Macaca fascicularis: one gene and its partner. The protein of the gene in region 1 interacts with the protein of each later gene in a pairwise test. Links are inferred from orthologs where the notes say so. Each region holds a gene or a part of one and is shown on either strand. Other genes may lie near its edges.

Evidence for each region.
Region 2: the proteins of AGTRAP (region 1) and SENP2 interact in binary tests that used the Homo sapiens proteins (3 or more experiments, as listed by UniProt). The two-hybrid records come from large-scale screens. The link is inferred for Macaca fascicularis from reciprocal best matches to the Homo sapiens genes AGTRAP and SENP2.

The regions. Positions count from the first base shown.
Region 1 is NC_088375.1:223,065,746-223,081,768, forward strand, and holds the start of AGTRAP (type-1 angiotensin II receptor-associated protein), read right to left. Parts: upstream 10,665-16,023; 5' UTR 10,589-10,664; coding exon 10,562-10,588; intron 1-10,561. UniProt on the Homo sapiens protein: Appears to be a negative regulator of type-1 angiotensin II receptor-mediated signaling by regulating receptor internalization as well as mechanism of receptor desensitization such as phosphorylation.
Region 2 is NC_088376.1:97,507,146-97,523,018, reverse strand, and holds the start of SENP2 (sentrin-specific protease 2), read right to left. Parts: upstream 7,154-15,873; 5' UTR 7,123-7,153; coding exon 6,863-7,122; intron 3,444-6,862; exon of another isoform or gene 3,339-3,443; coding exon of another isoform or gene 3,238-3,338; intron 1-3,237. UniProt on the Homo sapiens protein: Protease that catalyzes two essential functions in the SUMO pathway.

The DNA of each region.
Region 1 (16,023 bases):
GCAACTGCAGGTGGCCCAGGAGTGAAGGAGGAGGAAGAAAGCAGGCCAGGTCAGGGAGGGGCCGCTTCATGCCTTCACTGACACCCACGCCCCTTCCAAGAGTCAGAGGCGTTTGAACCAGATCAACTCCATCTTGAATAGGAGCTGGGTAAAATAAGGCTGAAACCTAGTGGGCTGCATTCACAGACAGTTAAGGCATTCTAAGTCACAGGATGAGATAGGAGGTCAGCACAAGGTACGGGTCATAAAGATCTTGCTGACAAAATGAGTTACAGTAAAGAAGCTGGCTAAAACCCACCCAAATCGAGATGGCCACAAGAGTAAACTCTGGTGGTCCTCACTGCTACACTTCCACCAGCGTCATGACAGTTTACAACTGCCATGGCAACGTCACAAAGTTACCCCTTATGGTCTAAAAAGGGGAGGCATGAATAATCTACCCCTAGGTTAGCGTATTATCAAGAAATAACTATAAAAATGGGCAACCAGGCTGGGCGCGGTGGCTCACGCCTGTAATCCCAGCACTTTGGGAGGCTGAGGCGGGTGGATCACCTGAGGTCAAGAGTTCAGGACCAGCCCGGCCAACATGGTGAAACCCTGTCTCTACTAAAAAATACAAAAATTGGCCGGGCGCGGTGGCTCAAGCCTGTAATCCCAGCACTTTGGGAGGCCGAGACAGGCGGATCACGAGGTCAGGAGATCGAGACCATCCTGGCTAACACGGTGAAACCCCGTCTCTACTAAAAAATACAAAAAACTAGCCGGGCGAGGTGGTGGGCGCCTGTAGTCCCAGCTACTCGGGAGGCTGAGGCAGGAGAATGGCGTGAACGCGGGAGGTGGAGCTTGCCGTGAGCTGAGATCCGGCCACTGCACTCCAGCCTGGGCAACAGAGGGAGACTCCGTCTCAAAAATAAATAAATAAATAAATAAATAAATAAATAAATAAATAAATAATACAAAAATTAGCCAGGCATGGTGGTGTGCGCCTGTAATCCCAGCTACTCAGGAGGCTGAGACAGGAGAATTGCTTGAACCTGGGAGGTGGAGGTTGCAGTGAGCCGGTATCGTGCCATTGCACTCCAGCCTGGGGGACAAGAGCGAAACTCCATCTCAAAGATAAACAAACAAACAAACAAATTAATTAAAAAAATAAAAGGGCAAGCAGCAGCCCTCAGGGATGCTCTGCCTATGGAGTAGCCATTCTTTTATTCTTTTACTTTCTTAATAAACTTGCTTTCACTTTACTCTATGGACTCGCCCTGAATTCTTTCTTGTGCGAGATCCAAGAACCCTCTCTTGGGGTCTGGATCGGGACCCGCTTCCTGTAACACAAGGGCGGGAGGCTCCTTTGTGGAGTGCAGGGAATCTGCTCTGAAATCAGAAGAGGCAGAGTGGTGGGGTGGGGGCTCACATGAGGGTGATTTCTTGGGACACTGGAGCTGGGGCACTGTGTGGGGGCAGAGGGGAAAGCAGCTGTTGTGGCTGGAGAAAGCCAGCAAAGGGAGGGTGGCTGGGGACAGGTAGGGGGGCCTGAGGGCCTTGGGAAGGAGCGTGGGCTTCATGCCAAGTGCAGTGAGGGACGCCACTGAGACTTTTCTACAGGGAGACAGCTTGGTATGTCTTATGGTAACGAAAAACAACAACAACAAAAATCCCTCTGGCTATTCTTCTGGATTTCTGCAATATTCTACTTTCTTCTTTTTTAATTTTGAGACAGGGTCTTGCTCTGTGGGTCAGGCTGGAGTTCAGTGGCACCATCGCAGCTCACTGCAGCCTTGAACTCCTGGGCTTAAGTGATCCTCCTGCTTCGGCCTCCCCAGTAGCTGGGACTACAGGTGTGTACCTCCAGGCCCAGCTATTTTTTTTTTTTTTTTTTTTTTGTAGAGATGAGGTCTCCCTATGTTAACTAGGCTAGTCTCAAATTCCTGGGCTCAAGCAATCCACCCACCTTGGTCTCCCAAAGTGCTCGGATTATAGGCAGGAGCCACTGCACCTGACTACAATATTTTACCCTTTTTAATGCCCTCTATGTCCTTAAAATAACAGCCTCCTCTCCTGGAACTGGTCTCTACTCCAGGACATCAACAAGGCCCTGACTGGAAAGCACATAAAAAAAGGGCAGATGGGCCGGGCGCGGTGGCTCAAGCCTGTAATCCCAGCACTTTGGGAGGCCAAGGCAGGCAGATCACTTGAGGTCAGGAGTTCGAGACCAGCCTGGCCAACATGGTGAAACCCCATCTCTACTAAAAATACAGAAATTAGCTAGGCGTGGTGGTGGGCACCTGTAATCCCAGCTACTCCAGAAGTTGAGGCATGAAAATTGCTTGAATCTGGGAGGCAGAGGTTGCAGGGAGCCCAGATCAGGCCACTGCATTCCAGCCTGGACAACAGAGTGAGACTCCATCTCAAAAAAAAAAAAAAAAAAAAAAAGCAGATGCCTCGGGAGGGCAGGCAGCTGCAGCAAGAGCTTCCAAAGAGGAGGGACCTGGGTTGAGCACAAAGTATGAGCAGGGCTCAGCCAAGCAAAGGTGGGGCCGAGCCCTAGGCCCTGCGTGGGTGGCGGTGAGCGTGGAGATGGTTGAGGTGGGGGTGGGGTGGCACAGAGATTTTGGGGAGGCCGGAAGCCCCAAATTGGAAGCTTCAACAGGCCTGGTGGTCAATGAGGGCCCTAGGAGAAGTTTACTCAAGGGATCGAGGGGGCAGGCTGGAAGGGAGAGACGCCACACGCCTGGGGCAGAGGCAGCGTGCTGGCACAGACACGGGCAAGGTTTGCGAAGAAGGCCGGGGTTTCCAGCCTGGGTGAAAAGGCAGAAGGAGCCCTCACCACCTGCGAAAAAGAACTCCGGGCCGGGTCCGGTGGCTCACGCCTGTAATCCCAACACGCTAGGAGGTTGAGGGGGAAGACCGCTTGAGCCCAGGAGTTCGAGAACAACCTGGCCAACAAAGTAAGACCCCATCTCTACAAAAAATCAAAAAATTAGCCAGGCATGGTGGAGTACGCCTATAGTCCCAGCTACTTGGGAGGCTGAGGTGGGAGAATCACTTGAGCCAGTGAGGTCGAGTATGCAGTGAGTGAAGATCGGGCCACTGCACTACAGCCTGGGGGACAGAGGGAAGGAAGGAAGGAAGGAGGGAAGGAGGGAAGGGGGGAAGGGGGAAGGGGGGAAGGGAGGGAGTGAGGGAGGGAGGAAGGGAGGGAGGAAGGAAGGAAGGGGGGAAGGACGGAAGGCGGGAAGGGGGAAGGGGGGAAGGGGGAAGGGGGGAAGGGAGGGAGGAAGGGAGGGAGGGAGGAAGGAAGGAAGGAAGGAAGGAAGGAAGGAAGGAAGGAAGGAAGGAAGGAAGGGAGGGGGGAAGGGGAAGGAGAAGGGGAAGAGGATAGGGAAGGGGAAGGGAAAGGAAGGAAAGAAGGGAAAGAAAGGAAAGAGGGAAATAAAGAAAAGAAAGAAAGACAAACTCGCTCTGGCAGAGGAGAAAAAACATTTCTAGAAGAGTTACTTTTGACCACACACCAACTATGTGCCAGGCCCTATGCCAACCGTCTCACATGACCTTATCTGGACCTCACAGCAGCCTCTGGAACAGATACTATTATTCCCATTTCACAGATGAGAAAACAAGATTCAAAGATAAATTATGTTGATCAAGACTCCACAGGTAGCAAGTGGCAAAACTGGAATTAAATTTCAAACCCACCTCCAAACCCAGTGCACCCAACCTCCCCGCTGGGGACGCGGGCCTTCAGCTGGGAACTGTTTGGGCTTGTGAGAAAGGTTCACACATGGGGCAGATGGAATCCAGAGCTGGAGGCTGAGATACTTCACCTTTACCTCCAGGACCGGGGGCCAGAGTGAACCACAAGGGGCCTGGCTCTGTGGCCCAAAAGAAATTCCTCTCCCAGCTCCAAAAGACTAGGAAAATAATTCTGTAAGGACCGACGCACAAAACTTTAAGAAGATCTCAGCCAGGCGCGGTGGCTCAAGCCTGTAATCCCAGCACTTTGGGAGGCTGAGACGGGCGGATCACGAGGTCAGGAGATCGAGACCATCCTGGCTAACCCGGTGAAACCCCGTCTCTACTAAAAAAAAATACAAAAAACTAGCCGGGCGAGGTGGCGGGCGCCTGTAGTCCCAGCTACTCGGGAGGCTGAGGCAGGAGAGTGGCGTAAACCCGGGAGGCGGAGCTTGCAGTGAGCTGAGATCCGGCCACTGCACTCCAGCCTGGACAACAGAGAGAGACTCCATCTCAAAAAAAAAAAAAAAAAAAAAAAAGAAGATCTCGAGACTCTGACCAGGCTGAGTAGTGTGTTTACAGAAGGCGAGCTCTAGAAGGGATCTTTGCCATCGCCTCACCTACCTTCGTCTACTATTGGGCACTCCCTACGTGCTAGGTGCCATTCTAAGTGCTTTCTGTATATAAAAGCACTAAATCCTCACAATCCTCTGAGGTCTTATTATCCCCATTTTACAGCTGAGAAAACTGAGGTTCAGAAGGAAGTCACTTGCCCAAGGTCACAGAGCAGGCCAATGGCAGAGCCAGGACTCAGACCCAGGCTGTGTTGTCCAGCCATCAGGCCTCTCCCCATTACAAAGATGGGGAAACTGAGGCGGGGAGGTATAGTTTTCCATGGATTTCAATTCCTAGGGGCTTGAAGTGATCAAATGGTGTTAAGTTTCTTAAACATTCAGTGTCACCCAGCATCACTGGCACCTGCTTTTCATCCACCCTGGGGAGTCAGAGGTGTGCAGAGCAGATTTGGAGCTGTGCTCTCAGGACTAACATCGCTAACCAGGTACTCTGCCCTAGCAGTGGAGGTGCAGTGAACCCTCATCCTGAAGGAAAGCTATAGCAAGCTAAAGGGCACCTAATTGAACAGCAGGGAGGCTGGGAGGGTGGGGAGGTCAGGGGCTTCTCTGAGGAAGGGATGGGGGAGGCAGAAGGGGAAGAAGAGCATTTTGAGCAGGAGGGATGGCACCCACAAAGGCTCTGTGGCAGAAGGGGGGCATGGAACTTTCTGGAAACTGAACAGAAGCCAGTGTGGCTGGAGTGGAAGGTGAGTGGAAGGAAGAGGAGGGAGGGACAGGAAGTTGGGGGCAGGCAGGGCTGGGCATGAGGATGATTCTGATCTTTATCTTCAGAGCTAACCGCTGTCTCCTCTGTCTGATAGTAAACCACGGACCACAGACAGAAAGGAACTTGCTCAGGGCCACACTGCGCAGTCGGCCACAGTGGTCCCAACATCTAGCTTTTAGACTTAAAGAAGACACCGAGGAAAGAGACAGAGGGGAGGTAGCTCCCATCGCCCTTTTCCTCCCCCAAATCGACACCTAACTCTTCCCACTCTGGGCTTGTTTTGGAAATGATCTTCATTTTCAATGCTCTGGCTCCTATGCCTAGACTGTGCACACAAAAGGTCTTTAATAAATGGGCCCTGCAGAGCCCTGGATTATTCTGGAGAGAATGCAGTTAGCATGAAAGGCTGAGTCCCACGGGGGCCGCTGATCTGCAGGGCACCCCAAGGGTCACGCTTACAACCTGTGAGATAAAGACCTCGTAGCGCTGGAAGGGCCTGTAGCACACAGTGGGCACCCAGCTGGGTCCACACCTCTGCCATCTCTGTTAGGGAAGAAAACGATGTAACCTGGAAATACTGCAGATCCTTAGAACACACACAGTCCCTTCTGCGTGATGTCACTTTGGTTTGATAAACATGAAGAAAGTTAGCACCATGTGCTTCTCTTAAGTCCCTGGGAAAAGAAATGTCCAGAAGCCTAAGCCTCCCCTGCCTCAGTTTCCTCATCTTTGTAACAGGAGGACACCCAGAGAGGCCTTAATGTGCAGGAAGGCTCCAGGGAGAAACTGAGCCAAACGGGCCCTGCCCTTCCTGGCAGCCCAGGGAAAGAGGGGCCAGTAACTGTCGGGACAAAAGCACTGTCTGCTGGCCCTGGGAGAGCTTCCTGGTAGCCAAAGAGAAACAGGATTCTCAGGTACTGCCTGAAAGAGGAGCTGGAAGCAGGGGAAGGACCTGAGCTAAATGGGTGGCAGGGCCAGGACCCCTTTCCCAGCTGGGCAGGAAAGACGGACCTCAGCCCCTGGACTCTCACTACAGTGCTCAGCCCAGGGGAGGCCGCCCAGCTCTTTCCCAGACAGGGGTCAATGGGCCAAGGCAGCAGAGGGTCCCAGGATGCTATGTTGGAACAGAAGACCTGGGTGCTGGTCCAGGCACCAAGGCCTCAGGCTCCCTTCCGCGAAATGGAGGCAGTACCCATTTGTCCCACAGGGTGCCTCAACTGCCAGAGACAAGCATCTGTCTGGACGGCCACTGTAAGTATCCGTTTACTAACTGTTAAATACCTATGTGGGACAGGGATCCTGTATCGTCAACAAGAGCAGCAACTCCTGCTACTGACAAGCACCTGCCTGCCATGCATCTAACCTGCACTGCACCTAACTCATGTCATCCGTGTAACTGTATGGGGTAGAACTGAGGCTCTGAGAGATTAAGTAAAGTGGCCCATATTCATAAAGCTTACAAACAACAGAGCCCAGACACAAATGTTAGATTCGATCTATCCAGCCGGAGGTTTGTCCGTTTTATGAAACAGAGTCTTGCTCTGTCGCCCAGGCTGGAGTGCAGTGGTGCGATCTCAACTCACTGCAACCTCTGCCTCCCAGGTTCAAGTGATCCTCGGTGCCTCAGCCTCCTGAGTAGCTGGGACTACAGGCGAGCACCACCACACCCGGCTAATTTTTGTATTTTTAGTAGAGATGGGGTTACATCATGTTGGCCAGGCTGGTCTCAAACTCCTGACCTCAAGTGATCCACCTGCCTGGGCCTCTCAAAGTGCTAGGATTACAGGCGTGAGCCACCATGCCTGGCCCAGCCTGAATTTGTGACCCTAATTCTAGACTACCTCCTGGACCATGGGATCCATCATCCTAGGAGGTAGGGACTGTATTTATCTTCTTTTTACAAGGAAGAAATTGATACTGAGAGAGTTCAGAAACCTACTTAAGGTCACACAGAAACCTACTCAAGACCTTGAATGCAGACCTGCCTGCCCGCAAAGCCTGTGCTCTGTCCACTGTGCTACACCGCCAGGATCTCGAAGAGCCGTAGAGGGCGGATGGAAATAAGGAAGTCTAACCTGGAGAAGGAAAGGTCGAAGAGAAACCAACGAGGCATGAAGACCAAGACTTCAACCCTTTGTTTGCCACTAGAGGACCCATGGCGGGGTAGGACTTCCCAGAAATGGAATATACTCCTACCAGGCCTGTGCAAACACTTGGTGGCCCGTTACATGTGCTAGTGAGATCCCCCAGGGTGGCCGGGGTCCCGGGACACCAGTCAGGGCTGCCACAGATGGGAGGCAGAGTCGTGCAGCGGTTAACTTCGTGGGTGCTGGAGGCAAACGGGTGGATCTGATCCTGGCTCCATGACTTTAGAACCTAATGACCTTGGGCAAGTCACCTGACCTCTCAGAACAGCTGTTTGCTCTTCTGTAAAGCAGGGCAATAATGCCTTCTTCAGTGTTGTGTGGATCCAGTGGTACAGGGAGGTGGAGAGGTGTGGAAAGCGCTCCACACAGTGCCTGTCAGGAAGTCAGCCCTGCATCCCTCATTACTGAGTTCATTATTGAGTTCTTAACCCTAATGCTACACTACCTGCTAGACCAAAGGATCCTCCTCCCAAGGTCCTCTTCCCACAAGACCTCTGAACCCAAGTCCAGTACTTTCTAAGCTCATCACAATGTCATTCTTTTTCTTTTCTTTTTTTTTTTTTTTGAGACGGAGTCTCGTTCTGTCGCCCAGGCTGGAGTACAGTGGCGCGATCTCAGCTCGCTGCAAGCTATGCCTCCTAGGTTCATGCCATTCTCCCGCCTCAGCCGCCCGAGTAGCTGGGACTACAGGTGCCCACCACCATGCCCGGCTCATTTTGTTTTTGTATTTTCAGTAGAGACGGGGTTTCACCATGTTAGCCAGGATGGTCTTGATCTCCTGACCTCGTGATCCACCCACCTTGGCCCCCCAAAGTGCTGGGATTACAGGAGTGAGCCACCGCACCTGGCCCACAATGTCATTCTTGCATGGACAGGGCTTAGTCACCACACCTGGCCCACAATGTCATTCTTACATGGACAAGGCTCAGTCAGGGGCTGCCCTTTGTGCAAAGGGCCTGGGGCAGCTGTTTCTTCTCACCTGGCACCACCGCCCACTCTGGTTGAGCTGGGCAGAAGCGGGCACTCAGCCCTTGCCCAAGGAATATACAAAATGAGGGAGCGCAGGCCGCAGGGAGCAGTTCCCCACCTCCTGAAGGGCTCTGATCTCAGAACATCCCCTAAGTGCCTGCAAGCAAGGAGTCAACGGCTGCTCTCCACAGGATGGCCAGATTCAGCAAACAAAAATACAGAACACCCAGTTAATTCCCAATATGAGATCATGAATAATTTGTTAATATATTCCACATACTGCCTGAGACTTACTCATACTAAAAAACTGTTCGTTGTTGACCTGAAATTCAAATTCACCTGGATCTCCTGTACCTGACCTGGCAACCCTGACCCCTCAGGGCCACCCAGCACTTAGTTGTCTCTGACTGGTAGCGGCTGACACCCTTGGAGATGGGGGATCTTGTTTGCCAAGTCAAGGGGAGGACCAGCCTTTTCATCCTGGCTGAGCTGCCCAGCATAGCTCATACTTGTGGATGCGCTTAGCCTGTCGGGCCTAAAAAGTTGCTCAAAAAAGCCCCTAAGAGACTAAGCCCTCCCAAAAGACAGAAACAGCCAAGGTTAAAGTCAGCCCTAACTAAGCTGGTACCCCAGAAAGGACCTGGCCCTGGAGTCTGAGCCCTATGGGTTCAAATCCTGATACTGCCACTTACTGCCTGTGGGACCTTGGCAACTTACCCAGTCTAAGCTGAAGTTTGCTCATCTGTAAAAAGATGACCACATCAGCTTTCTCATAAGGCTGCCTTGATTATATAACCTGGCACACCACAGAAGCCCATAAATGAGAGCTCTATCCCTCCCACCGCCCTCACCTGATCCTCTCTCAGCAATTATTTTAAGCAAATCCCTCATCAGAGAAAAGGCAGTTGGTGTTAACCCCATGTTGCCTGGAATAGAGTGGGTACTGATACCAACAAACTTCGGTTGCTGTCACGTAAATTTCTTCCCAGCTGAATGTTCCACCCAAGCCCATTTCCCTGCTCCAGCCATGTCTCCCCACCACCGTGGACTGGAAGCTTCAGGAAGGTTTGCTGAAGCAAGTATGATTAAGAAGGGAAACGGGCCCATGGCAAGTCAGCACAGATGTTGTGTAATAAAGTGTATTAAGCCATTGTTTTGTAACCATCTATCTCTCAGGTTCCTTTACTGCCAGACACCAACAGGGAGCTAAATGCTTCGTCACTTATGAGTAAGAGGACATTCCTAGATATTGCCTCAAAGGAGGATGCACTAAGACCCAAAATGGCCGGTTTGGTCCAAGGTCCACACCTTCCTGACCAAAGCTAAAGCTCCTAGCCCCTCTCATGCAAACGGAGCCCAGACACGTGGGCGACGGTGCTGGGTGGGGAGAAAAAGAAGAACAGCCGCTGGCACCCAGACCCGGACTGAGCTCACGGCTTGGCTCGGGAAATGAAGACACCACAGGAAGCCCTGCAACGTTTTCCCCAGTGCACAAAGTTGGGGTTTTCTGCTTTTAAGTAATTTCTGTGGGAGTTTGTGCTTCTTCATTATGAAATAAGGGCGCTGGACGTGTAAATTTTATAAAACCAATTGCTGGCCGGGCGCGGTGGCTCAAGCCTGTAATCCCAGCACTTTGGGAGGCCGAGACGGGCGGATCACAAGGTCAAGAGATCGAGACCATCCTGGCTAACACGGTGAAACCCCGTCTCTACTAAAAAATACAAAAACCTAGCCGGGCGAGGTGGCGGGCGCCTGTAGTCCCAGCTACTCAGGAGGCTGAGGCAGGAGAATGGCGTGAACCCGGGAGGCGGAGCTTGCAGTGAGCTGAGATCCGGCCACTGCACTCCAGGCTGGGCGACAAAGCAAGACTCTGTCTCAACAAAATAAAATAAAATAAAATAAAACCAATTGCTTGGGAACATCAGATTTCCTGAACCCGACTTAGCAAATAAGGAGGTCCTGGGACGGTGCTGGGATCCGGGGGCAGGCCCAGTCCCTGACCCCGCGCGGGGGAGGTGAGCCGCCTCCAAGCCCCTCCCGCGCGCCTTCCTCCTCCTCCAGGGGAATTCTGGGCATGCGGGCAACAGCAATCCTGGGACCAGCGCTGCCTGCTGGAGGGTCTGAGTCCGGGAAGGGGCGGCCCTTGCCCTCCTCTGCCACCTCCAACGGCCCCTCTGCGTCGCCCTGCTGGCCTGTGCCTGACTCACTCTCCCTGCTGTGGCCTGCCTGCCCACCTCCTTCTCGCGTGAGGTCTGTACCTTCCCTTCCTCCCATCCCTCTTTCCCCCAAACTCCCGATCCTCCCACCTTCCTGGAAAATGCAAATGTCCCACCTCCTCCCGCAAAGGGGACCCCCCATCCCCAGCCCGTTGCCACCTTCAGGTTCACAGCAGGCAGCTCCATCTCGACCCAGGCCGAGGGCACCTGCGCGGCAGCCGCGGGGGCTCCTGGGCTCCGAACTCGGGGAACAAACTTGCCCGGCCCCGCCCCGCCCTTTGCGGCGACTCCAACCCCAGCGCCGCTCCGGACCACGTGAAGCGGGCTGGAGCGGGTCACGTGACCGCCGCTCGGTTGCTAGGAGACGGCGTCGGCAGGCGCGCCTTCCGCCAAGCTCCAGGCTCCCGCCACCGCCCAGGCAGTACCTGGGGGCCTCTGGCAAAAGTCGGAGTTTCTGTCGCCCAGGGCGTATCTTGCCTGGCTAATACTCCAGGAAGCGGGCTGTGGGGACTGCCTGCAGCCAGGACAACTGGGGTACCGTCCAGGCGCAAAGTGCTGATGTGGCAACAGCTTGTGTCTCGTCCTTGGGGGCACCCTCTCTCCTTCCCACTTCCCTGTGTAAATGGGCTATTTAGGATACCTACCTCATATGATCCTTGTGAGAGTAAATGAGCTAACCGCTGTTGCTAAAGAAAACGTTATTGGGACAGTTAAACCAGTACTGTTCAAGACTTGCTGTAGGGTTATTGCCATGGAGTGAGAGTTTGGGCTCAACACTGAATACAACAAGGACCCAGGAGGGATTTATAGCTAAAGTGCAGAGTGAGGGAACCAGGGATGGAAGATTCCTGGGAGGAGACATCAAGGAAGGGGGAGTTCTTGCTAACTTAGCAGGACTCTTGCTGAAACTGGTTTATGCAGGCTCAGGCCCAGCAAGGACAGGAAGACACAGAGGTCCAAAGTCAAGGCCTAGTCAAGCTGAGGACTCAGAGGAGCCTAACTACCGTTTGGTCTAGGAGAGAACAGTGCCTGGCACTTAGTAAATGGGCAGGACACACAAGCTATTGTTATTATCAACATAAGAGGAGGCTGGGCGCAGTGGCTTACCCCTGTTATCCCAGTACTTTGGGAGGCCAAGGTGGGTGGATCACTTGAACTCAGGAGTTCGAGACCAGCCTGGCCAACATGGTGAAACCCCATCTCTACTAAAAATACCAAAATTAACAGGGTATGGTGGTGCATACCTGTAGTCCCAGCTACTCAGGAGGCTGGGGCACGAGAATCGCTTGAACCGCGGAGGCTGCATGACACTGCACTCCAGCCTGAGCGACAGGGTGAGACCTTGTCTGGGAAAAACAAACAAACAAACAAACAAAAAACAACACCTGAGGAGCCAAATTAGTGGGAGCCCACTTTAATCAGCATACCAAAAGTTTTAGAAAACTCTAGTTGAAAAACCATAAGAAATTCCTCCCCTGCCGGCGCGGTGGCTCACGCCTATAATCCCAGCACTTTGGGAGGCTGAGATGGGTGGATCACGAGGTCAGGAGATCGAGACCATCCTGGCTAACACACTGAAACCCCGTCTCTACTAAAAATCCAAAAAAAAAAAAAAAAAAAAAGCCAGGCGTGGTGGTGGGCACCTGTAGTCCCAGCTACACGGGAGGCTGAGGCAGGAGAATGGCGTGAACCCAGCGGGATGGAGCTTGTAGTGAGCCGAGGTCACGCCACTGCACTCCAGCCTGGGCGACAGAGCGAGACTCCGTCTCAAAAAAATTAAAAAAAAAAAAAAAAAAGAAATTCCTCCCCCAATTGTGCATGAGGAAAGAATGGGTTGTCTCCTGCCTCGCCTGGCACCTCTCTTAAAGATTGTTGACCACAGCATCCCCCCACCCCAACAAGAACATTAATCCACACTACCTCCAGGTCCCTTCCTAACATCTACTTTCCTTTAGAGAACACCAGCTTTTGTTTAGTGTCACCTAGGTATGGACACCTTCAGGGTACACCTGAGCACTTGGTCTTGTTCCTAGGATGGGGGAAACCAGGTGAGAACCTACAAAACTGCCTGGGTGAGTCCTTAGATATTATTAAGTCCCATAGTCTCTCCAAATGCAAAGAAAGGGTTTCTCTGGATGGACGAGGAGAGTTTTGCAGGGCTGCAGGGCCCATAGCCCTAACTTAATACCCTCTTAGGAGGCACAGATGCCCCCAGTCTAGGGGGAAGGGCCATCCAACATCTGCCGTTGTAATGAGTGGGTAAATTAGAGACCAGCCAAATGGCTACATCCAGTTTGATTTAGGACTGGTTGCTATTATTATTAGTTCATTATTGGTAATTAATCATTGTTATCAGTAAAGTACTTAGAAGAGAGTAATTTCTCAGTAAGTGATCAATATTAGAATATTATGTTATTATTACTTATCTTTTTTTTGAGATGGAGTCTCGCTGTGTCACCGAGGCTGGAGTGCAGCGGTGTGAGCTCAGCTCACTGCAACCTCTGTCTCCCAGGTTCAAGCTTTTCTCCTGCCTCAGCCTCCTGAGTAGCTGGGATTACAGGCAAGTGCCACCATGCTCAGATGATTTTTGTATTTTTAGTAGAGATGGGGTTTTGCCATGTTGGCCAGGCTGATCTCAAACTTCTGACTTCAGGTGATCCGCCTGCCTCGGCCTCCCAAAGTGCTGGGATTTCAAGCGTGAGCCACAGTGCCTGACCTGATCAATTTCCTTCTAAAAAATATTTCTCATACACTCCAGATTCTAGAGGGATTTAATCCAAGCCTTTAGGTATATAATAAAATTGTGATCACTTTGTAAGGAGAAAATGAAAAACAGGCCGGGCGCGGTGGCTCATGCCTGTAATCCTAACACTTTGGGAGGCTGAGGCCAGTGGATCACTTAAGGTCAGGAGTTTGAGATCATCCTGGCCAACAATGATGAAACCCTGTCTCTACTAAAAACACAAAAATTAGCTGGGTATGGGGGCGTGCACCTGTAGTCCCAGCTACTTGGAAGGCTGAGGCAGGAGAATTGCTTGAACCTGGGAGGTGGAGGTTGGAGTGAGCTGAGATCATGCCACTGCACTCTAGCCTGGGCAACAGAGTGAGAGTCCATGTCAAAACAACAAAAAAAAAAGCAAAACAACTCCTAGGATTAAAGCTGACATTTACTAAGTACTGTAGGGGTGGAAGGGTGTGATACCTTTCCTCACCCATCATAAAGGTCACAGCTGACATGCCTGTAAAAAAAAAACAAAACTGCTTAACAAGAGAAAAGCATACCAAGTTTAGTTAAGCAAAGCTTTATGTGACATGGGAGGCTTCAGAGATGAAGACTCAAAGTCCCAGGGAAATCTGTCTGTTTTTGTGCTTAGTTTCAAGGAAGAATGAACAGCCCTGAGGCCGGGCGCGGTGGCTCACACCTGTAATCCTAGCACTTTGGGAGGCCGAGGCAGGTGGATCACGAGGTCAGGAGATCGAGACCATCCTGGCTAACATGGTGAAACTCTATCTCTACTAAAAATACAAAAAAATTAGCCGGGTGTGGTGGTGGGCGCCTGTAGTCCCAGCTACTCGGGAGGCTGAGGCAGTAGAATGGTGTGAACCCGGGAGGTGGAACTTGCAGTGAGCTGAGATCATGCCACTGCACTCCAGCCTGGGTGGCAGAGTGAGACTCTGTCTCAAAAAAAGATTTTTTTTTAAATAAAATAAAAATAAAAATAAAATTAAAATAAAATCAAAATAAAAAAATTAAAAGAAAAAAATAAAAAGAATGAACAGCCCTGTAGCAATGCAGTTGGGTAAAAAGAGAATGAACAAGGCTTGTCCAGAGTCTTCCTAGCCTCTCCATGCAGCATTCCTTCCTCCTGGTTACAGGGTAGAACCTTTCTGTAATGAGGTCTTCAAGGAGAGAAGGGGGAGAGCCACCTTTCTAGGTTTTATGGCTACTTTGGAGACACAGGTTCTAGTTTCTGTGACCCACCTTGGAGAAGAAGGATTTTTTTTTTTTCTTGAGACATGGTCTTGCTCTGTTACCCAAGCTGGAGTGCAATGGTGTTATCATGGCTCACTGCAGCCTCAACCTCCTGGGCTCGGGTGATCCTCCCACTTCAGCCTCCTGAATAGCTGGGATTAGAGGCACGTACCACCATGACTGGCTAATTTTTGTATTTTTTTTTTTTTTTTTTTTTTGAGACGGAGTCTCACGCTGTTGCCCAGGCTGGAGTGCAGTGGCGCGATCTCGGCTCACTGCAAGCTCCGCCTCCCGGGTTCCCGCCATTCTCCTGCCTCAGCCTCCTGAGTAGCTGGGACTACAGGCGCCCGCCACCGCGCCCGGCTAATTTTTTTTTTGTATTTTTAGTAGAGATGGGGTTTCACTGTGGTCTCGATCTCCTGACCTTGTGATCTGCCCGCCTCGGCCTCCCAAAGTGCTGGGATTACAGGCTTGAGCCACCGCGCCCGGCCAATTTTTGTATTTTTTATACAGACAGGGTTTGCCATGTTGCCCAAGCTGGTCTCAAACTCCTGGGCTCAAGTGATCCACCTGCCTCGGCTTCCCAAAGTGCTGGGATTAAAGACTTGAGCCACCCCGGCCAAAGGAGGAATTATTGTTCTGTGACTGCCTCAGGGGAGAAGGAGGGGCTGGAGACAGGAGGTCAGGAGGCGGTCACAGAGACCTTGCTTTTGAGGCCTCCAGTCTTCTTTAGTTTACAGTACTTAGTATGCCAAAGTGCCAGATATTGGGGTGACATTTTCTAAGCCCCAACCGTAGTTGTTGTGTGGCAGACAGTGTGAAAGGGCTTCACAGTGGGCCGGACACGGTGGCTCACGCCTCTAATCCCAGCACTTTGGGAGGCCAAGGCGGGTGGATCACCTGAGGTCAGGAGTTTGAGACCAGCCTGGCCAACATAGTGAAACCCTGCCTCTATTAAAAATACAAAAATTAGCCGGGCATGATAGTGGGTGCCTGTAATCCCAGCTACTCGGGAGGCTGAGGCATGAGAATCGCTTGAACCCAGGAGGTGGAGGTTGCAGTGAGCTGAGATTGCGCCTCTGCACTCTATCCTGGGAGATGGAGCGAGACCCTGTCTCAAAAATAAAAAAAAGAAGAAAGTGCTTCATAGTAAATGCTCACAGCGACACTATGGCACGTGCTGTTCTTATTCCTGTTTACACTAAGGCAGCTGAAATCAAAAGAAACAAGCAACTTGCCACAGGCGCAGCACTAATTGCTGCTGGAACTGGGGTGGGACCCAGGAGGTCTGGCTCCAGGACCCTGACATGTAACCACACAGCAGGAAAATCCAGCCAGGGCTGAAATGAGAAGGATAGAGCGAAGTAAGGCAGGGAAGACAAGGATCAGAAGGCTTCACAAGGCTGGACCTTGGAATATCCCTGTGGCTCAGACACTGACGCTGTATTCATCTCGACCAGCTGGGGCCAGAGACGGAGAGAGGAGGGCACGAGAAGACCCTGCTGGCTGGGCGGGCTTGGCAGGCTGGTGGGGTGGGGGGGATGGGGGAGGATGGAGAAACAAAAGAAAGTGAAACTGTCGGTATCCTCAAAGGAACCGGAGTTCCTGCTAGACCTATTCTTGGCTATGGAAGGACATAATAGACCCC
Region 2 (15,873 bases), on another chromosome or scaffold:
CCCAGCACTTTGGGAGGCCAAGGCGGGTGGATCACGAGGTCAGGAAATCGAGACCATCCTGGCTAACATGGTGAAACCACGTCTCTACTAAAAATACAAAAAAAAAAAAACTAGCCGGGCGTGGTGGCGGGTGCCTGTAGTCCCAGCTACTCGGAGGCTGAGGCGGGAGAATGGCGTCAACCCGGGAGGCGGGGCTTGCAGTGAGCCGAGATCGCGCCACTGCACTGCAGCCTGGGCGAGACAGCGAGACTCTGTCTCAAAAAAAAACCAACAAACAAACAATTTCCTTTTGAAATGATCCCCAAAGAAAGTCATCTTTTACTTTAAGTGACAGTATTAATATGAACGGCCTTAAAAGACAATTCTTTTTTATTGTTTTTTCTTTTGTGTGTAAGGGAGTTTAAAAAAAAAAAACTTCTACAAGTTAAAAAAGACAAATCTTAATCAAGGGTTATATTTAACTTCATTTTTATCACGCAAACTATATTATGGTGGTAATAAAGAACTTTGGAATTGTGGAAAGTTTCAGGACCCAGATGTCAAGAATGGTAAAGGGTCATATCATATTACTTATCATCTCTCTGAACCCTTCTGATCAATTATATTCACACATGCCAAAAAAAAAAAAAAAAAAGAATAGAATAAAATGAGATCCCAGGATTTTATTCAACTCAGCTTTATACATTCCAACAAGCCCTGCTGGGCTTCATTTTGACTGAAAAATGGTTTACACCGAGAAGCGTTGTTTTGGATTAAGAATGTGAACATCTGAAGTATAGTAAAAATCAAGGTTTTGATCACCAAACCATGTTCCACCGACTAGCAGGGATTCACATCAAAGACAGGACAAGGGAGAGGAAATTAGCTTTCCCTTATTCGATAAATAGGGACCAAGTGCTTATCATGCACCAGACTCTGCAAAAGGCCCCAGGGTAGAATAGACAAACACTACCCTTATATACAGTAAGCATCAGTTTAGGCACTTTACACCACATCAAATGATCATTATCAAATGATCCTCACATCAACCCTACAGAAAGATAGGAGAGAAAAATAAGGCAAAACCATGAATCTCTGGAACACATGATACAATTTAGTTAACAACCAATCTCATCAATAACCTGCATTCTCAGTCTAATGTATTAGACATCTTGTTCTCTCAAGCTCCCACAAATGAACACTTCTTCCACTTTTCTTGATATTGAGGCTTAGTTAAAAAAATGAAATTAACAGCCGGGAGCGGTAGCTCACGCCTGTCATCCCAGCCTTTGGGAGGTCGAGGCGGGTGGATCACGAGGTCAGGAGATCCAGACCATCCTGGCTAACACGGTAAAACCCCGTCTCTACTAAAAATACAAAAAATTAGGCGGGCGTGGCCGGGCGCGGTGGCTCACGCCTGTAATCCCAGCACTTTGGGAGGCCGAGGTGGGTGGATCACGAGGTCAGGAGTTCAAGACCAGCCTGGCCAAGATGGTGAAAACCCATCTCTACTAAAAAGTACAAAAAAAAGTAGCTGGGTGCAGTGGCAGGAGCCTGTAATCCCAGCTACTAGGGAGGCTGAGGCAGGAGAATCGCCTGAACCCAGTGGGCAGAGGTTGCAGTGAGCCGAGATCGTGCCACTGCACTTCAGCTTGGGCAACAAAATGAGATTCTGTCTCAAAAAAAAAAAAAAAAGTTAGCCGGGCACGGTGGCTCAAGCCTGTAATCCCAGCACTTTGGGAGGCTGAGACGGGCGGATCACAAGGTCAGGAGATCGAGACCATCCTGGCTAACACGGTGAAACCCCGTCTCTACTAAAAAATACAAAAAACTAACCGGGCGAGGTGGCGGGCGCCTGTGGTCCCAGCTACTCCGGAGGCTGAGGCAGGAAAATGGCGTAAACCCGGGAGGCGGAGCTTGCAGTGAGCTGAGATCCGGCCACTGCACTCCAGCCTGGGCGACAGAGCCAGACTCAGTCTCAAAAAAAAAAAAAAAAAAAAAAAAAAGTTAGCTGGGTGTGGTGTTGGGCGCCTGTAGTCCCAGCTACTCGGGAGGCTGAGGCAGGAGAATGCCGCGACCTCGGGAGGCGGAGCTTGCAGTGAGTCGAGATTGCACCACTGCACTCTAGCCTGGGGGACAGAGCGAGACTCCGTCTCCGGAAAAAAAAAAAAAAAAAAAGAAATTAACATTTGATCACTAAAGTTGGAGAGGGGCACAGCATTTGTATAGTATTTTATTTTCTAGATTTTCAGGCAAGGAGGTCGATACAATAAAAATGGGACACTCCAAAGAGTAGATGCTAAATAAGAACAGCTTTTGGGGCCGGGTGCAGGGGCTCATGCCTGCAGTCCCAGCACTTCCAGAGGCTGGGGTGGGCGGATCACTTGAGGTCAGGAGTTCAAGGCCAGCCTGGCCAATATGGTGAAACCCCATCTCTACTAAAAACACAAAATTAGCCAGGCATGGTGGTGCACGCCTGTAATTCCGGTTACTTGGGAGGCTGAGGCAGGGGAATCGCTTGAACCCAGGGAGGGGGCGGGGGGAGGGGGGAGGCGGAGCTTGCAGTGAGCCGAGATCGCGCCACTGCACTCCAGCCTGGGCGACAGAGCAAGACTCCGTCTCAACCAAAAGGAAAAGAAAGAAAAGAACAGCTTTGAGTTTCCCCCACATTTTAACCGAATTTAAAAGTACAGACTAGTGATTGTTTTAAAGGAGTGAGGCACCTAAGCCTTTTTACTCATTCACTAATTCTAAAGCACAAAACCCTTCTGGCCCCCAACACACAGACTGTTTGACAGCTGTTTTAGAAGAAAACAGCTGCTGTTTCTTGCTGCAAGGACAGTACTTGCAGTCAAAACGGCTTTGGGCAAGCTATGAATCTCACTTCCTTTAACTGCACTTAATGTCTGCAGATGACACTTGGGAGGGTGCTTTGTAAACAGTGAGCCACAACAAAGACAGTATTCCTTCAATGTTAGTGTTCAGCCTAAGAGCGGCAAAGCCCCATTTGTTATCAGCAACCAGCTTGGCCTCTGACAAGAATGTCAAAGACCCTGCCATCACCGGCCGCTCCGAAGACGACCAGCTCCTCCTTCATCAGGAGCTGCCTCCCCACAGCCCGGCGGGAACGACTACGTCACTAGGATCCCGGCGACCTGCTTCGGGTGAGCCTGGCTGAATCAAAGCTATCACGGCCGAGGAGCCTGCTGTGGGGGAGGGGGTAAGGCCAGGCCGGCGCTCAGCCCCCTCTGGTCTCACCTGTCTGAGCGCCGCCTCTTCAGGAGGGCCCGGGCAGGGGGCACCGACCGGTCGCAGAAACGGAAAATGGTGCCGAGAATCCTAACCAGCCATCTGTACATACCAGGCCCGAGCAGCAGCGGCGGCCGACACACCCCGAGACGCAAACCCCAGAGCTGTCGCCGCCGCTGCCGCCTTCGCCGTCTCAGCCACCACCGCCAGAGTTCGGTCGCTGATTTGTGACGCGGTTGAAGGGCCCACAGATACAGCGTCCCCAGGGCTACCAGAGGCCCCCGCCCGCCACCACTCCTGACGTCACCTCCTCCCGCCCGACCGGAAAGCTCCATTCTCAATCTGCGCACGCGCAACCTAGCACCGCTACCTATTTCCGAGCCCAGCAACAAGAGTAATTGTGGGACGGTCCCGGCCCAATCGCTGACGAGATCGAAAGGGCTGTCGGCAGGGTTTTCTCTTCGGCTGAGCCAATCCCGAGCCGGCCCGTGGGACAAGGCCCACAGGCCTCACGTGAGGCTGCTCCACACCGGAGGAGGCGTTCCAGGGTCCCAGAGGAGAATAGGTGCTCAGTGTTTGCTGAGTGCACACGTAAAGGTAGCTCAGGTTAATTAACACACAAATACCGTTTTAGGCGCCCTTTATTTTGCACTTACCTTTTGCCTCGTACTTTTCATGCATTGTAACCTTAATATGCCCAGCAACGGCATATGACAGTCTTATGCCAATTTTATAAGTCAAGGAAATTGAGTCATAGAGCGATTAAGTTATTTGCCTAAGATCACAAAACTAGCTAGAGATGCAGCTGGAACTTGAACCCGGGGTCTGAGTACCAGCGCCAGTCCCTTGCCCTTGAGGTCAGTCTACTTGGAGACGTGTACATAGATAATTACAAGTTACAATACACTGTAAGTGGTTACTGTGATAAAGGTGTGTGCAGAGTGCAGTGGGAGCCAGAGAAAGGAAAACCACACACTGAGGGCGAGAAGGAAAGGACAGATGTCCTCAAGAAAGGCTTCACAGAAATTTAAGGATGAAACCTGCGGCCCACTAATGTCTCCTACCCTGCGCTAGTAATGAGTCTCGTTACCCTCCCTCTATAATTCCAACGTCACATTTCTAGTTAATTGTCAACTATAGGCCGGGCGCGGTGGCTCCTGCCCTTAATCCCAGCACTTTGGGATGCTGAGGTGGGCAGATCGCTTGAGCCTAGGAGTTTGAGACCAGTCTGTGCAACATAGTAAAACCCCGTCTTTACAAAAAATACAAAAATTAGCCGGGTGTGGTGGCATGCACCTGTAGTCCCAGCTACTTGGTAGGCTGAGGTGAGACGATTGCTTGAGCCCAGGAGGTTGAGGCGGCACTGACTCGTGATCATGCCACCGCATTCCAGCCAGGGTGACAGAGTGGGACCCTGACGCACCCCATCAAAAAATTACCAACTGAAAACAAATCCCACCCTACTTAGTGACAGAAAATTCAGTCCCCTCTTCCAAACAATCCTGAGAATCCTCAAAGGTTTTCATGCCCCACAAATCCATTCCTGACTAACTTGTTTCCTACTCGTGATTCAGTTAAGGCCAGAGTTTTACACTTGCTTGAACTTCAACCCTGGCATTCCCCAGTTCAGCCTCTTCCTTTCCTCAATAGACAGCATTCCAGGCCGGGTGTGGTGGGCTCATGCCTGTAATCCCAGCATTTTGGGACGCCAAGGCAGGCGGATCACTTGAGGTCAGGAGTTCAAGACCAGCCTGGCCAACATGGTGAGACCCCCCCATCTCTACTAAAAAAGAAAAATACAAAAATTAGCCAGACATGGCTAATGGTGGCTACATGGTGGTACACTCCTGTAATCCCAGCTACTTGTAAGGCTGAGACAGGAGAATTGCTTGAACCTGGGAGGTGGAGGTTGCAGTGAGCGGAGATCACATCACTGCACTCTAGCCTAGGCAACAGAGCAAGACTCTGTCTCAAAAAAAAAAAAAAAAAAAAAAAAAAAATTCCAGAATTCTGCTGCAAGCCACCACCTAGAGCTTCAGAATCACCAGCCACACACCTGCAGCTACCACCACTCTGGCCTGGGGGCTGGGGTCATATCCTAGAGGATGGAAGCAAATCTTAAGTGTGGACACAGCCCCCTCCCTTATTCCCCTAAGCATAGCAAACACCAACCAGGCTGTTGCTGAAAGTTTGGGGCATTACAAAGCTGAGAAGACTTAGAAGTGGCTATTAGATTATGCAGCATCTATAGTCCCTGGCCTGTCTCGCAAAGGAATTCTCTTCACCTCAAGGCCATCCCTTTACTTTTAACACCTTTGGCAAGCTGTCAACAGAAGGGACTTTTCCCTCTACCTCTATCCCGACATATTTCAGGCTGGACTCCCCGTAAATGTAATCAGAGTCAGGACTCCTATTAACAAAAGACAACCATTGGCATTATTGTGCAGAGCAGTTCAGTTACGTCTGTCCCTTCCACTCACTATGAGTGTTGGGCTTTGCCTTTGCCAAACCAAGAAGCCCGCTCAAGTACTGGGAGAGGATTCTCCCAAATAAAAGAGCAGTCTTCATTTAAACACAAATCATACGTCCTAAGAGAACGATTTTTTTCCAAGTTAAAAAAAAAAACACATAAATCAGAAAACTACAAGCTGCTGCCGGGCACGGTGGCTCACACCTGTAATGCCAGCACTTTGGGAGGCTGAGGCAGGCAGATCACAAGGTCAAGAGATCGAGACCATCCTGGCCAACATGGTGAAACCCCGTCTCCACTAAAAATTAACTGGGCGTGGTGGCGCGTGCCTGTAATCCCAGCTACTCTGGAGGCTGAGGCAGGAGAATTGCTTGAACCCGGAGGCAGAGGTTGCGGTGAGCCGAGATCACACCACTGCACTCCAGCCTGGCAACAGAGTGAGACTGTCTCAAATAAAACAAAACAAAACAAAACAAACAACAAACAAACAAAAACTACAAGCTGCTTTTGAATAGCAACCTATTCCAGGTCTGGCCACTGAGATTTAAGAAATATTGTGGTAGGCTGGGTGTGGTGACTCATGCCTGTAATCCCAGCACTTCGGGAGGTCCAGGCCGAATGATCACTTGAGCCAGGGAGTTTGAGACCAGCCTGGACAACACAGGGAGACCCTGTCTTTAAAAAAATTTTATTTTTAATTAGCCAAGAGTGGTGGCATGTGCCTGTAGTCCCAGCTACTTGAGAGACTGAGGTGGGAGGTCAAGGCTGCAGTGAGCTGTGATTTCACCACTGCACTCCAGCCTAAGTGACAGAGTGAGATTTATAATCTCAAAAAAAAAAAGAAAAGAAAAAGAAAAAAATATATTGGGGTCACACTTGATAGCCCTGAGGTGCAACACAACAACACATTTTTTTTTTCCTTTTCCTGCCTCATAAATAGCACCCTTACAAACTCAATACTGAAACACAGGCCATCTGCCAGGAAGAGTGAGAAGGCTTCAGAATTACAGATCTCAATCAGAATCCCAGGGCCCCAACAGCAAACAATAACTCAAGAAACGAACGTGGCAATCCTCAGCCTCCCACCATGCATGCTCCCTCCATATCCTCTCAGTTACCCTCTAGAAGGAAGAAAAGGAGACACATCCTTATACTCGCTCCCACCTGGGACTTGTCTGCCGATTGGTGCCTTCGCTGTCCTGTGGTCCACAGTAGAGACATGGGTGACTGTCCAGCCACTGGCCAAGTGGGATTATCCTTAACCCCAACCCCACCACTGCCACAGCCTTGCCAGGACCCAGCAGCTCTTTACTGGAAGGCCATAGGAGAATCCCAAGGCCATATGGAGTAACAAGGACATTGAGATATCTGCCCTTGGCTTGGATAATTTTCAGCTTTGTACTGCAAGAGGGGCACAACCTCATTGCTTAAGCTTTTGTAGGTGTTCCAACCAGATGCCACAGTTCTCCAAGAAGATGCTTATCCCCTTCCAGCTGAGAGCAGCTCCTTGAAGCCTTTTCAGGGCCCCACCCCCTTCTTCCTCCAAACCTACCTCCCCTCCAATCCATTCTTTAGTCTTGCAAATTTCCCCTTTTAAAGCATTCAAAGAACGTTAACGAATTTCTTCTCAACTTTGTTTTTCCTGACCCCTGGACAGAAAAGAATTCTAGGCCATCTGTGGGAAGGGGTAAGGGCGCCTAGAGGAGGTCGTGTTGGCTTAGGCCTAATGTGCCTAAAATCCAACATAATTCACCACTCTGAAGAGTAATTTCTTTCTAGGTACCAACTCTTCTGGTACTTAAGAAAAACGTGTCCTCCTAATACTAAGTGACAGAGTGAGATTTATAGTCTCAAAAAAAGAAAAAGGAAAAGAAAAAAATATATTGGGGTCACACTTGATAGCCCTCCAGTGCAACACGACAACACACGAAGACTGATCTTATTCAATCTGTGCAATAATAACCTGGGCCATACTATACCAAAGGTGAATACACCCCTTTTGTGTCATAAATTTCATCATAAAACTGGCCAACATTGACTGCAAATGGCCCAGCCCACCTCCTATGGAGACATAGCGCCACACCTTACCTAAGCCTGCGTCCTGATCTATAAAATGGAGTTAATAAAACCTGCCTCTCAGATCTATGGATAGTTAAATATGTTTGTGAGCCAGGCGCAGTGACTCAGGCCTGTAATCCCAGCAGTTTGGGAGGCTAAGGTGGGCAGATCACTTGAGGTCAGGAGTTCCAGACCAGCCTGAGCAACATGGTGAAGCTCCGTCTCTACTAAAAATACAAAAATTTAGCCGGGCGTGGTGGTGGGTGCCTGTAATCCTGCCTACTCAGAAGGCTGAGGCATGAGAATCGCTTGTACCCGGGAGGCTGATATTGCAGTGAGCCGAGATCATACCACTACACTCCAGACTGGGCGACAGAGGGAGACTGTCTCAAAAAAAAAAAAAAAAAAAAGAAAAGAAAAGAAAAGATGATGGGCATTGTGGCTCACACCTGTAATCCCAGCACTTTGGGACACTGAGGAGGGTGGATCATGAGGTCAGTAGTTTGAGACCAGGCTGGCCAATATGGTGAAACCCCATCTCTACTAAAAAAATACAAAAATTAGCCAGGCGTGGTGACGTGCGCCTATAGTCCCAGCTACTCGGGAGGCTGAGGCAGGAGAATCACTTGAACCCGGGAGACGGAGGTTGCAGTGAGCCGAGATCGTGCCACTGCACTCCAGCCTGGGTGTCAGAGCAAGACTCCCTCTCAAAAAAAAAAAAAAAAAAAAAAAAAGGAAAAGAAAGAAAAGAAAAGGAAGAAAAGGAAAAGTGTTTATATAGACGAAGGGCCTAGTCAGTGCCCAGCACAGCTAGCTGATGCTTAACATTTCTCTTGCCTCTCCTTCCTTTTCATATCTAATAAATCTTAACTTGCCTGGTCTGTATCATTCCTCTTTCCAAACCTATCAGAACTACAGTCCTTCCTTTTTTTTTTTTTTTTTTTGAGACAGAGTCTCCGTCTGTTGCCCAGGCTGGGCAGTGGTGCTATTACAGGTGCCTGCCACCACATCCGGCTAATTTTGTATTTTTTGTAGAGACGGAGTTTCACCATGTTGGACATGCTGGTCATGAACTCCTGGCCTCAAGTGGTCCACCCACCTCAGCCTCCCAAAGTGCTGAGATTACAGGTGTGAGCCACCTACCGCACCTGGCCCAGAACTACAGTCCTTTATAGGGGCTGATCATTTCTCACACGGTTGCAATAGACATTTCTGCTTCTGCCTTTCGTCTTGTTAACTTATGCTGTTTGCAGGATGATCTCTCTTGTTGTCTTTTGTCTTTTGTTCTTCTGTTGTTGTTAAGGAACTAAATTTTATACTCTTATTTATTAAGAAAGGTAAATTTATAAATTAAGTTTCTCTTTTTCTATTACCAAATGACTAAAAATGGTTGGATTGATTTTCACCAAATTTGGGAGGTTTGTTTGGGGTGGTCTGACTTAAAATATAGAGCATATGGCAACCTTTAAACAATTTTTTTTCTTCTTTTGAGACAGGGTCTTGCTCTGTCACCTAGGTTAGAGTGCAGTGGAGCGATCTTGGCTTACTGCATCCTTGACTTCCCCGGGCTCGAGCCATCCTTCCTCCTCAGTCTCCCAAGTAGCTGAAGTAGTTAGGACTAAAGGCACCCTCGCCACCATGCCCTGCTAATTTTTGTATATTTAGTAAAGACGGGGTTTTGCCACGTTGCCCAGGCTGGTCTGGAACTTCTGAGCTCAGCCCATCTGCCCACATTGGCCTCCCAAAATGCTGGGATTACAGGTGTGAGCCAGCGTGCCTGGCCAACCCTAAAATTAACTTTGGATGGCCCTGGGGAGAGCCTAGAAAAGAGAGACAGTTATCTCTGGAAGCAGCCGCAATTTAGGAGCAGCCAGAAGACAGGGATTCCTCAAAGTGAGAAATGCCGTGCAGAGTGAAAGAGCATGAACCCCTTCAATGGTTCATGAAGGTTCTAAATGATGGCCCAAGAAACGTCATAAGGATCAGCCTTCCAAATTATGGAAATTTTCCGTAGACTTGCTTCTCATGTGGAGAGACAGCCCTTCATGCATGCCACAGGAAACAATTGTCTAACAAAGGCTCCCAGTTTCATGACCAAAGCTCGGGAAGCCAGTTAAGTAAAAATAACAACAGAAATCTGGCCCTAAAAATAATATTTTAAAATAACAGTTCAAGATCCAAGTACATTTAAAATATGTGGCACTAATTGAACACTTCCCTCAAATTTTTATTTATTTATTTATTTAAACTTTTTCAGGCTGGGCGTGGTGGCTCACATCTGCAATCCCAGCACTTTGAGAGGCCAAGGTGGGAGGATCACTTGAGGTCAGGAGTTCAAGACCTGCCTGGCCAACATGATGAAACCCCATCTCTACCAAAAATATAAAAATTAACCGGGCGTGGTGGTGCGTGCCTGTAATCCCAGCTACTTGGGAGGCTGAGGCAGGAGAGCTGCTTGAACCTGGGAGGCGGAAGTTGTGATGAGCCAAAATTGCATCACTGCACTCCAGCCTGGGTGGCACTCCAGCCTGGGTGACAGAGTGAGACTCCATCTCAAAATAAAAATTATGGCTGGGTGCGGTGGCTCATGCCTGTAACCCTAGCACTTTGGGAGGCTGAGGCGGGTGGGTCACCTGAGGTTAGAAGCTCAATACTAGCTTGACCAACATGGTGAAACCCAGTCTCTACTAAAAATACAAACATTAGCAGCCAGGCGCAGTGACTCACACCTATAATCCCAGCACTCTGGAAGGGCGAGGAAGGTGGATCACCTGACCTCAGGAGTTCAAGACCACCCTGGGCAATATGGTGAAACCCATCTCTACTAAAATACAAAAAGAAAAATTAGCCAGGCATGGTGGTACACACCTGTAGTCCCAGCTACTCAGGAGGCTGCAGCACGAGAATCACTTGAGCCACGGAAGCGGAGGTTGCAGTGAGCTGAGATTGTGCCACTGCACTCCAGCCTGGGCTACAGAGTGAGACTCTGTCTCAAAAAAAAAAAAAAAAAAAAAAAAAAAATTAGCTGGGCATGGTGGTTCAGGCCTGTAGTCTCAGCTACTGGGGAGGCTGAGGTGGGAGGATCACTTGAACCTGGGAGGTGGAGGTTGCAGCAAACCGAGATTGTGCCACTGCACTCCAGCCTGGGTGACAGAGTGAGACCCTGTCTCAAAACAAAAACAAAACCAAACAAATTACAAAACCAAAAAAAAACTTTTCAGTGGGATGCATTAAATTAAAAAAAAAAAACTTTTAGTAGGCCAGATGTGGTGGCTCACGCCTGTAATTCCATTTTGGGAGGTGAAGGCAGGAGGACTGCTTGAGCCCAGGAGTTCAAGACCAGCCTGGACAACATTGTGAGACCCCCTCTCTACTTTAAAATTTTAGGCCAGGCATGGTGGCTCACACTTGTAATTCCAGCACTTTGGGAGGCCGAGGCAGGAGGATCACCTGAGGTCAGGAGTTCAAGAACAGCCTGGCCAACATGGTGAAAATCCGTCTCCACTGAAATTACAAAAAATTAGCTGGGCATGGTGGCGGGCACCTGTAATCCTAGTTACTTGGGAGGCTGAGGCAGGAGAATCACTTGAACCCAGGAGGCGGAGGTTGTGGTGAGCAGAGATCGTGCCATTGCACTCCAGCCTGGGAGACAGAGCAAGACTTCGTCTCAAAAAAAAAAAAAAAAAACAAATTTAAAAAGTGAGTTTTCAGTAAGAAAAGGCATTTTGTCTCTGTCTTACTAGTGTGTATACTGGTCTTGTTAGAGCCATCTCTCCTTGAAATGTTCTGTACAGCTGCTCTAAAAACAAGCAGTAACTGACAGGGTGGACTTGAATTGATCGTATTTGATACATTGTCTGTAAGGAAGTCATGGTAGCTCTGTGCCATGAACAATACTTTGTAAGTAGATTTTAATCTTTTTTTTTCTTTGAGAAATAGTTTGCTCCTGCTGCCCAGGCTGGAGTGCAATGGCAGGATCTCGGCTCACTGCAACCTCCGCCTCCTGGGTTTAAGCGATTCTCCTGCCTCAGCCTCCGGAGTAGCTGAAATTATAGGCATGTGCCACCCAGCCCGGCTGATTTTTTTTTTTTTTTTGAGACGGAGTTTCACTCTTGTTGCCCCAGGCTGTAGTGCAATGGCACCATCTTGGCTCACCACAACCTCCGCCCCTCCGGGGTTCAAGTGATTCTCCTCCCTCAGCCTCCCGAGTAGCTGGGATTACAGGCATGCGCCACCAGGCCCAGCTAATTTTGTATTTTTAGTAGAGATGGGGTTTCTCCATGTTGGTCAGGCTGGTCACGAACTCCCAGCCTTAGGTGATCCTCCCACCTCGGCCTCCCAAAATGCTGGGATTACAGGTGTGAACCACCATGCCCGGCCTAATTTTGTATTTTTAATAGAGACGGGGTTTCTCTATGTTGGTCAGGCTGGTCTCGAAATCCCAGCCTCAGGTGATCCGCCCGCCTTGGCCTCCCAAAGTATTGGGATTACAGGCGTGAGCCACCACGCCCATCTGATCTTTTTTTTTTTTTTTTTTTTTTTTTTTTTTTTTTTTTTGAGAGGAAGTCTTGTTCTGTCGCCCAGGCTAGAGTGCAATGGCATAATGGCATGATCTCAGCTCACTGCAACCTCTGCCTCCCAGGTTCAAATGATTCTCCTGTCTCAGCCTCCCTAGTAGCTGGGATTACAGGTGTACATCACCACAGCCAGCTAATTTTTGTATTTTTAGTAGAGATGGGGTTTCACCATGTTGGCCAGGCTGGTCTTGAACTCCTGACCTCAAGTGATCCATCCGCCTCGGCCTCCCAAAGTGCTGGGATTATAGGCGTGAGCCACCACGTCGGGTCAGATTTTAATCTTAAATAGATTTTTCCTTCTTCTTTTTTTTTTTTTTGAGACAGTCTCCCTCTGTTGCTCAGGCTGGAGTACAGTGGCGCCATCTGGGCTCACTTCAACCTCTACCTGCTGGGTTCAAGCAATTCTCTTGCCTCAGCGCCCCCTAGTGGCTGGGATTACAGGCACGCGCCACCACGCTCGGCTAATTTTTGTATTTTTAGTAGAGACGAGGTTTCACCATGTTGGCCAAGCTGGTCTTGAACTCTTGACTTCAGGTGATCACCCACCTCGACCTCTCGAAGTGCTGGGATTACAGGCGTGAGGCACCATGCCCAGCCTTTCCTTCTTGTGTTGTAATAAATGACCAACTTTTTTTGTGTATATTGTTAATAAGTTAACATACAGATACGTTATATTTGATATCATGTAGTATAGTATATATTATGTATTATATTATATTCATTTGTATTATTATATAATAAAACATATTAACTTATAAATGAGTTAACAAGAAGATGGTCAGGTTCTTACCACCCTGAAGGTAAAATCCAATATCTTAAGCAAGGCTATGAAGTTCTTCACAGACTATCTTCAAATTACTTTATCATTTCCCTATTCATACACACCAAACCCTTAAGCTGCACTTCTTTATTTCTTTCTTTTTTTTTTTTTTTTTTGAGACGGAGTCTCACTCTGTCGCTCAGGCTGGAGTGCAGTGGCACGATCTCGGCTCACTGCAAGCTCCGCTTCCCGGGTTCACGCCATTCTCCTGCCTCAGCCTCCCCAGCAGCTGGGACTACAGGCACCTGCCACCACACCTGGCTCATTTTTTGTATTTTTGTAGAGACGGGGTTTCACTGTGTTAGCCAGGATGGTCTCGATCTCCTGACCTCGTGATATGCCCGCCTTGGCCTCCCAAAATGCTAGGATTACAGGCATGAGCCACCGCGCCCGGCCAGCTGCACTTCTTTCATGACTTCATGTCTCCTGGTCTTTTCATTTTGCCTGGAACGCCCTTCCCCCACTTTCTGTACCTCATGAACACTTACCTAGTTTTTGGAACCCAGCCCAAAGGCACCTCCTCCGTGAGACTTTTACAATGCTTACGGTGTCTGGGATTCCCCATATCTCATTGCTTTCCCATCTGTTCTCCTATAGGATTTGTGTCCATGTCTCTATATATGATTTTTTTTCTTTCTTTTTTTTTTTTTTGTTAAGATAGGGTCTCACTCAGTTGTCCAGACTGGAATGCAGTGGCACAATCTTGGCTCACTGCAGCCTCCACCTCCCAGGTTCAAGCACTTCTCCTGCCTTAACCTCTGGAGCAGCTGGGATCACAGGCACCTGCTTCCACGCCCGGCTAATTGTCGTATTTTTAGTAGAGACAGGGTTTCACCATGTTGGCCAGACTGATCTCAAACTCCTAACCTCAGGTGACCCACCTGCCTCGGTCTCCCAAAGTATTGGTGTAGAGCTTATAGCTTGCAGTGAACGCCAAGAATGAGTTCTCAGACAATTCCAGCTGAGCAGGGCGGGGGCGGGGGCAGCTCTTCTAAGAGAGTCAACCTTAGCATCTGTCCGCCAAGTATTTATTGAAAGGGCTTGTTAAACCACATACATCCACTAGATGGCTTTTTTGAGGTCGGGTCGTGAGGCACCTGTGGCCTTGTAAAAACACTCAAACTGCATTCTCAGGAGGCTGTTTTCAGCATTCCTTATCACACCACACACTCCACTCCTTGTCCTGTTTTCAGGGTCGAGTTTCATTCTCATGCACAAATAACATACACACAACGCCTCAATATTTTTCCATGCCCCGACCTCGAATGCCTTGTACATAAGCTTGAATATGTTGCCATGTGCCCCCCATATCTCCCCCTTTTTTAATTCTTAAAGCTTGCTGGTCATCTCATGCAAGGCAAGCTTCTATCATTCTTCCCTGGTCATAGATGCATCAGGTGGCAGTATAGGGCCTTCTGCAAATGCCTAGCAAACAGATACAAAAAAGAATAAGTACAACAGCCATCATCCAAATGCATATATTTAAACCAGACAACCAAGTGTTCGGGTTTAACCATTGAAAGCCTCTTCTAATTGCTGAAGAGTACTTGTTTGTAATTGCTGCGACCATTCCTCAAGTTGTTTCTTTAATTCACACTCAAGAGTGGAAATTTGAGAACACAAATGGTGGTGATAAGCCCCTTGCAGATGTGCTTTCACTCTCTCCCAAGCATATTGGAAGCTATTATGTGTCAGGGGTGTGATACAGAATGATATTGCCAATCACAATGTAAATGTTGACGGGTAATGAATGCCTGCTATTGATTCCCCAGCTATAGAACAGCGGCTTCAAGAGCCTTCAGGTGAGACAGAATAGTTTTATCAATATTTACCTGTTCTTGAAATTCATGGGTTACATTATATACCATGTGGTTCACCACTGAGGCTGTGTGAATAGATTCTGTCAGAGAAACAGCTGCAGTAGCAGCAGTTGCTAATATAATAATAGCTGAGACTAAAAAGGCAATTAAAGTGGCCAGAAATCTTTTATTTTTTCAAGTATGAGACAGTGCTTTTCTAAACAGCTGCAGGGTGGAATCTGCTTCCCAGCTCTGGGTTAAATTTACAGGTAGCCACAATTCCACACATCATTTTAAGATCATGACATAGGTTATATTCAACTGCGTAACATTTCGGTGAGACAAGCATGTAGCACACCAACTACTGGAAGAGACTTTAATACTGTAAAAGGATTGATTCTGCTCTACGTTAGGAACACCTTACCCAAACAAAATTATATAAGGGTGCATAGTACAAATCAGGAGAGTGTCAGTAACATTATTACGCAAAGAGAGGGTATAGTTGCCACTGCTGGTAATATACTCACCATGTGAAAGAACCCGTTCAAAAAGGGAAATCCTAATCTCCAAATTTGGGTATGAGCAGGGCTTAAAGCTTGTTTCCCTTTCAGTTGTAATACTGGTCCTGAAAGGCCACACTCTGACTAGGTAATAGAACTATTGGAGGGACTTCTAAATCCAATAGTCTGATTTGCAGACAGAAGATTACCATGGGGACCCCAATCAAATAAGGTGCCATTATCAAACAGAGGCCCTTGACGTGGCGCAGGCTGTCTGTACGGTGACCACTGGACGGCCTCAAACTTATATCGCCAGTCCCTACTCGGATGGCATATAGGAAGATCAGGCACTTGTGAAGCTTCATTAGAGACCTCAGTAAGATTACTGGTAATAGTAGAAATAAAAGTCAAGTTTGCAAGC